Drosophila melanogaster: one gene and its partner. The protein of the gene in region 1 interacts with the protein of each later gene in a pairwise test. Each region holds a gene or a part of one and is shown in the gene's direction. Other genes may lie near its edges.

Region 1 (3,755 bases):
GATTCTACACCGACCGGCTTTTGCCAAGCCCAAGGGGCCACCAAACCGAGGCGCCAAGCGCCTCACGCGTCCCACCGCAGAGGACTAAGTCTGAATCCCGATCCCACCGAGTCAATTCTGTTTATCGCCCTTCTACGTACTGTTTCCTAGCAGAGCATTTAATTTATTGTATCCAATCGTTTATTTCTTTTGTGTTGTGTCTATCCCGTGTCTATATGTGTCCGTACGTCAGTCGATATCTTTAGAGGCACTAGGCATCAACTGAAACATCGCATAGCAGCCGCCAAAGTGGGCTTCCTTAAATGTATTCTTGTCTATGTAACTTTAGATGGACATATATGCAATTTATTTAAATTAAAAAAAGTAACTAAGTTCACACTGGCGTCTTCTTTAAGTCCTCAGGACTCACTTGATCGTGTCCAGCGATACATGTTCGGATGTTTTCTCGTCGTGGGCCTTGAAAAGCTCTGGGTTTTCGTCCTCTGTCAGTTTTTTGAACGCCTGTTGAATGTTTTCGTCGCGATCGAGTCGCCATTTGTACTGCCAGTAGCGAACCTCTTCCATCGAGGTCCCTGATGCTTTCATCAGCAGCAGCGACGTCACACCAGCCACGCCGCCCAAGAAACCTCCAATGATTCCACCTGCCGCCATGCCCCGCAGACCAAGACTCACTTTGTAAAGCGAGCCGGTGATGGAACCAGCGGCCAAGTATTCGTAGATTGAGGATTTTCCACGGTACACCGACATACAAGTGATGATGCCGCTGTAAGGAACACATTTTTGTATCACACAGATACAGATTTGAATTCGTGTTGCTGAACTTACAAGTAGGATGTGGTAAAAAGTCCCACTCGCCAGCCCCATTTGAAGCCGCCTTTGGCAAAGTTGACTGTGAATTGATCTTGCAGCTTTTTCTGTAATTATGATTAAAAACTTGATTATAACATATTTAAATGATAATACGTAGATACCTACCTTGGCATCAAAGTGCGATTTAAATGCTGTGGCCTGGTTGTTCTCCATGAAATTCATGTAGGCCACGCGCGATTGTGTAACTCCGCCGTAAATAGCTCCAATAAGGAATCCTAGGAAGCCGGCCTGGTAAACCGAGTTAAGCTCGGAGGATATGCTGCCAAACTCGCTATTTAAATGTTTATGTACGGTCAGTAGATTTTAGTATAAATGGAATTCTTAGTTTTCCTACTCGATTGTAAACATTTGCTTGAGGCGCTCCAGTCCTGTTTCCTCTGGTGGTTTACTGGCCAGAAAGGCCTTGTATGTTTTGTTTTCCTTATCGACTATTTCATCTGCGGCGCCTTCGAATGTTGGCAGGATGCCTGCGATCAGAAACCGGCGTCCTTTCCACAGAAAATTCATTTTTTAAGCGTGTTAAATAACCAAGTAAAACGAGTACAACAATCTCAGCTGTTTGCCGGTCTGTTAGTGTTGGAAAGTGTGCGTGTCATTGGTGTTGGCAAACTCTCGGTTTAATTGTTTTTAATTTAAATGCGTTTGTTATTAATAAAATTATATTATTATAATAATTTAAGTTACATACTCATTTAGTTGTTCATATATTTTTTTCTTATATCATTCACACTTTTAAATTTATTTTGTTGCCAAAAACAATTTTATTGTGTTTACAAGTATTTGCTATAACTTTATGAACTGCACCTTGTGCTTTGCTTTTGCCGTTTACCAACACAGCACAACGCCGCTAATCGCGTTGTCGGCAAACATTTGTTGTGAAATTTTCTACGTTTTTACAATTTAATTCATTGCAAATCCAATTTATTGTTATTTACTTGAACGCATAAAGTGCTTCTGCACTTTAGAAAACTGAAATCATGATGTACGACAACGAGGAAGGTGAGTAAAATGAATTGCGAAAATTTGTGCATGCACGTTGGCGTGTACCAAAATTAATATGGCGGCTGGAGCGCTAGGGCTCCGCATTGTTAGCAATGAATTTCAATGGTCAAATAACATCTTGCAGAACTGTACGAGGAGGAGAATGCCGAGGAGATCTCTCACGAGCTGTGGCAGGAAGCCTGCTGGATCGTGATTAACGCGTACTTCGACGAGAAGGGCTTGGTGCGGCAGCAGCTGGACAGTTTCGATGAGTTCATTCAGATGTCGGTGCAGCGCATTGTGGAGGATTCCCCCGCCATTGAGTTGCAGGCGGAAGCGCAGCACACATCCGGAGAGGTGGAAACCCCGCCCAGATTCTCGCTGAAATTCGAGCAAATCTATCTTTCCAAGCCAACACATTGGGAAAAGGATGGTTCGCCCAGTCCTATGATGCCGAACGAGGCCCGCCTGCGAAATCTAACTTACTCCGCTCCTCTCTACGTGGACATTACGAAAACCAAGAATGTCGAGGGCCTGGATCCCGTGGAAACGCAGCATCAAAAGACTTTCATAGGCAAGATTCCCATCATGTTGAGATCAACGTACTGTTTGCTATCACAGCTTACTGATCGTGATCTTACGGAGCTGAACGAGTGCCCGTTGGATCCCGGTGGCTACTTCATCATCAACGGCTCCGAGAAGGTGCTAATTGCCCAAGAGAAAATGGCCACCAACACAGTGTACGTGTTCAGCATGAAAGATGGCAAGTATGCCTTTAAGACTGAGATTCGGTCGTGTTTGGAGCACAGTTCCAGACCCACGTCTACACTGTGGGTAAACATGATGGCAAGAGGATCGCAAAACATAAAAAAGTCAGCCATTGGTCAGAGGATTATTGCCATCTTACCGTACATCAAACAGGAGATACCCATTATGATTGTGTTTCGAGCATTGGGCTTCGTGGCCGATCGCGATATTCTGGAGCATATCATCTATGACTTCGACGATCCCGAGATGATGGAAATGGTGAAACCTTCTCTGGACGAGGCTTTTGTAGTCCAAGAGCAGAATGTTGCCTTGAATTTCATTGGAGCTAGAGGAGCACGTCCCGGAGTCACAAAAGACAAGCGTATAAAGTACGCTAAGGAAATTTTGCAAAAGGAAATGCTGCCCCACGTTGGAGTATCCGATTTCTGCGAGACCAAGAAGGCATACTTTTTGGGCTACATGGTTCACCGGCTGCTCTTAGCCTCTTTGGGCAGGAGAGAACTCGATGATCGAGATCACTATGGAAACAAGCGACTTGATCTCGCTGGACCCCTCCTGGCCTTCCTCTTCCGTGGTCTGTTCAAAAACCTGATGAAAGAGGTGCGCATGTACACACAGAAGTTCATCGATCGCGGAAAGGACTTCAACCTTGAACTGGCCATCAAGACTAATATTATTACTGATGGTTTAAGGTATTCCTTGGCCACTGGCAATTGGGGCGACCAGAAGAAGGCGCATCAGGCGAGAGCCGGTGTCTCCCAGGTGTTGAATCGCTTGACCTTCGCCTCTACTCTTTCCCATTTGCGGCGTGTGAATTCGCCAATTGGCAGAGACGGTAAACTGGCCAAACCTCGTCAGTTGCACAATACTCTTTGGGGTATGTTGTGTCCCGCTGAAACTCCTGAGGGAGCAGCTGTTGGTCTGGTGAAGAACCTGGCGCTCATGGCTTACATTTCTGTGGGATCACAACCTTCTCCCATTCTGGAGTTCTTGGAGGAGTGGTCTATGGAAAACCTGGAGGAAATTGCTCCTTCTGCCATCGCTGATGCTACAAAGATCTTTGTGAACGGCTGCTGGGTGGGCATACATCGTGATCCTGAGCAGCTCATGGCAACGCTTCGTAAGTTGCGTCGCCA
Region 2 (3,755 bases), on another chromosome or scaffold:
AACCCCACGAGTTGGCAGCCACATCCACCCTTCACACCCCAACTAGACCTCTACTTACTATCCACGATTCTTCTGCTTTTCTCTTAAATAGCTCGGGAGCATTTCCTCTGTGTGTTTACTTTGTTTGTCTAGAAAATCGAACCCACAAATTAATCCTATGCCTGATTGTCCAACGTTGTATTCAAATTGTTGCTATCTGTACTTATATATGATTGCTGTGTGTTTAATATTACACCCAATCCCAATCAGTTGACCACATAGTGAATCTGAATGAATCTCTTGAATTTTCTAGAAAACCGAAGTATTCGTCGACGTAAATCGCATACCCATATTTAAGAAACAAGTTCGACCAATCGTTGAGCAGGATGAGTACGAATCGCGACGCGTTTGGAAGGAAGTGACAGCGGGACTCAAGTAAACAGCATACCAATTAATTCCTGACCCCCAATTGCGAGTCATGATAAATGTAATCTCTTTGTTCGTTGCTCTTCCACAGGTTCAATGACATCGAGCGCGCTACAACTGCCAAATTCGTTGTGGAGCAACAGCAGCGTGATCAAGCCAAGGTGCGCAAGGAATACGATCTGGCCTGGGAGCACAAGGTACGTCATCCCGATATAGGGTAAAACAGTTAACAGATAATATTCGTTCACAGCACTTTAAGCCCGTGGGCGACAACTGGATCTACGCCAAGCCGCTGAGTCAGCGCATGTATCTGCAGGAGAAGGAGGCCAAGAGATAATGCCTCCGACTGACAACGAGAGCAACAACACCAAAAACGTCTATATATATGGATCATATCAAGAACGAGCCTCAACTATATGTTTAATTCCACAAGTGCGCAAACCTCTCAACACTGACGATACAACGTAACGAATGCAGGAAAAGTTAGAGCAACAACTGAACTGGCAGAAGGAGATCCATGATGGAGGCTCCAGGGTCTGGTTATTAATTGTAAATAATATACACAGAGAAAAAGAAAGGAGTAAAGCTCTGCTCATTAGGTTGGAACGCGAGTCAAGCTCGACAGCTCAGCGGAGACAGAAAAATCAAACACTCACAGTTTCTATACAGAATTAACGATTATTATTTACTACTAAGTACTAGTGTGTTTCAAAGGCAATCGCAGTAAACTGCAACACAATGACACCTATTCAATACCTTTTACATTACTAACATTTACTAACTAGCAACAAAGAAAGAAATCCAATACATAATGGGATATATCAAAAGTTGTAGATTACAAAATGATAGTTACTTAAGGATAATAGAGATTCTATTTTTGAAATAAAAGACTCTGCTATAGACGAAATACAATACCGACACGCTAGTATCCGACAGATACTGCACCCTCGCTTCTTTCCAAGACCACAGGACAGACACACGGACATAGAACACACGGTGCACAATGATTTTCCAGTCGCATAGCTTATAAATCAAATACGATTACCTTTAGTATTATGTTTCGAATTCCACTTGTCACAATAATAACAATAAAGCTTTACCAAGAGTCCGCTGGTGACACACCTTTACACCTTACTGCAATAGAACCCAATTGAAAACCGAACTCCTAGACACGTTGAATAATAGACATTAAATTTAATTTATAACTTTATAACTTACGAGCCAGGAAGCAACACCACCCACACAGCAAATCTACCGACTACTCTCACGCAAAGTTAACGCAAAATGAAACGAATAAAGTAAATACGCTTCGAAATTGATTTAAAGTAATATTTAACGAACTAGTTACCCCGTAGAATAAAAGAATTGTAATCCCAATGGCATTAATTGGAACTTATATCCAAGCCCGGGGAAACTTGTATATATTTTTGCGATTTTCTTTTTAACCAACGTGTTAATTGAGAAATTGAGCTACTCCCAAGCAGATACAAATATTGCAAATAAAGCGATTTGTTCTTTAAGCAGTTTTAATGGATTTTGGATTTCGGGCTTACGAACATTTAAGCTCATATCATTAACAGAGTTATATATAATATACATTGCTTGTCTTCACTTAATAAACATTGCGTTAAGTTTTAAATTTGAATTGTTACAAAAATAATGTTACCATTGGTATCGATAACATTTTATTTGCAATCGATAGGCGACCCAGAGCACTGTCATCTCTTTTTTAAAACCAACGGTCACACTATTGACGTGGCCTCAAAATTTTTTGTTCTCCGGAAAATGCAAAAAGTTTGCATTTAAGTTAATTGTGCATAGCAGCGTACGACGCCAAGTCCAAAGAATCCGCCTGCCAATATAGGACGTGTTCGCATCCATCCGGAGCACGCGAGGAGCGCTTGAAATCGTGTAAGAAAGAAACTAGTGCGGAAGGAAGTTTTGGGAGTGGAGAGAGCGTAGGGAAGTGCGAAAATCGTTTAATTTTCGTTCGCGGAGAAAAATCCAGCCAAGGATTTCACAAAAGACCAGAACAAAGAGTACAACCAGTGGTTTTTACAGCTGCATCCGCCCTTTCCTCACAACGAAAGGCGGAAAAGCTAATTCATAGTCCGCAGCAAAATCGCCAATCAAGGGCGCAAGAAGAAGAGGCAACTACAAAGTGCAAGTGCTGGCCGAGGAACTTCATGCCAATGAAAACTGAAGCTCGGGAAGGTGATAAGTGATTGGTAACCGTGTTATGGGCACTACATATGCCTTGATTGCCCCAATTTCTTTGAGTGGGTGGTGGGCGTGGCGGGTTGACTTCGCCAATAGGCACGTCATCAAAAATTTGCTTTGTTCCGGAGACAAATCCTTTCTCTTCCTGATTGCTTCCACTGCATCTGGGTCACCAATTTAACCGACCCACCTTCTGCGATCATTGATGGCGAGGTCAAGTGCTTGAGGCACGCACACTTACACGTTGTACATCACATAATAACCCATAACGACCTGCTGTCGAAGCTGTTTAAACAGCAAAATATGATATGAAATTATCACCCTATTTCCGACTTACTGTTGACGTAGACACAGTTCTGTAAACACTGAATCAAGACATTTACCTAGGCAGCCAGTCTAGCTTAAAAGTTTGTGATAAAGCTCCAATAACGCAGAATTTCGCATTCCATTCGATCACTGCAAATTCTAAACTGTCTGTAAGCGGGGAAAAGCATCCCGCTTTAAAACTTTACAACTTTTATCAGCCGCACATTGTTTCATGTTACGCGCTTTTTAACATTGAACGATAAGATAATTCCCTGTTTCATGTCGGCAGCAACGCAACCTTCGCTAGTGATAAGATAGCAACTAAACAAAATGTAATTCTTCATCTTTCAGACCACAAACCTATGAATTAGCAGCATGTCGACTTACAATCCGAACTTCGTGCCTCCCGCCCACGCCCCTATGCCACTGAACGGAAACAATTTTGTGAATGGTGTGCAAGGAAGCGTCCAGCAGCAGCCAGGTCCTCCACCTGGTCAGCAGTATATACCACAGAAGCAGCCACAACAGTTCCAGCAACCACCTCCTGCAGCAGCTTTTCCGGGAGCAGGAGCGCCAGGTAATGTGCCACCGCCGCAGCAGTTCAACAGTGGTATTACGAACCAGTTCTTGCCGCCCACGTCAGGAGCAGCTACACCTCTGCAGCAACTGCCGCCCAGCACGCTGCCGCCCCATCTGCGTCCGCCCGCCGCCAACGGACCACCCCTTACGAACGGCAGCAATGGGGCGTCCAGTGCGAACTCTTCGCGCACTGCATCCCCAAGGCCAGTAGGAGCTGCCCCTCAATATGCTCAAGGACCAATCGC

The links. The genes of interacting proteins can lie anywhere in the genome.
Region 2: the proteins of Polr2B (region 1) and Sec24AB interact in a two-hybrid assay, tested with the Drosophila melanogaster proteins (one large-scale study listed by BioGRID).

What each region holds. Positions count from the first base shown.
Region 1 is NT_033777.3:14,124,100-14,127,854, forward strand, and holds the start of Polr2B (RNA polymerase II subunit B), read left to right. Parts: upstream 1-1,691; 5' UTR 1,692-1,847; coding exon 1,848-1,869; intron 1,870-1,996; coding exon 1,997-3,755. Other genes in the region: twf (twinfilin), read left to right, coding at 1-88; 140up (upstream of RpII140), read right to left, coding at 406-763, 826-914, 976-1,141, 1,205-1,377. UniProt on the Drosophila melanogaster protein: DNA-dependent RNA polymerase catalyzes the transcription of DNA into RNA using the four ribonucleoside triphosphates as substrates. Second largest component of RNA polymerase II which synthesizes mRNA precursors and many functional non-coding RNAs.
Region 2 is NT_033778.4:9,880,744-9,884,498, reverse strand, and holds the start of Sec24AB (secretory 24AB), read left to right. Parts: upstream 1-2,141; 5' UTR 2,142-2,316; exon of another isoform or gene 2,317-3,103; intron 3,104-3,282; 5' UTR 3,283-3,306; coding exon 3,307-3,755. Other genes in the region: CG1513 (uncharacterized protein), read left to right, coding at 293-414, 497-602, 656-742.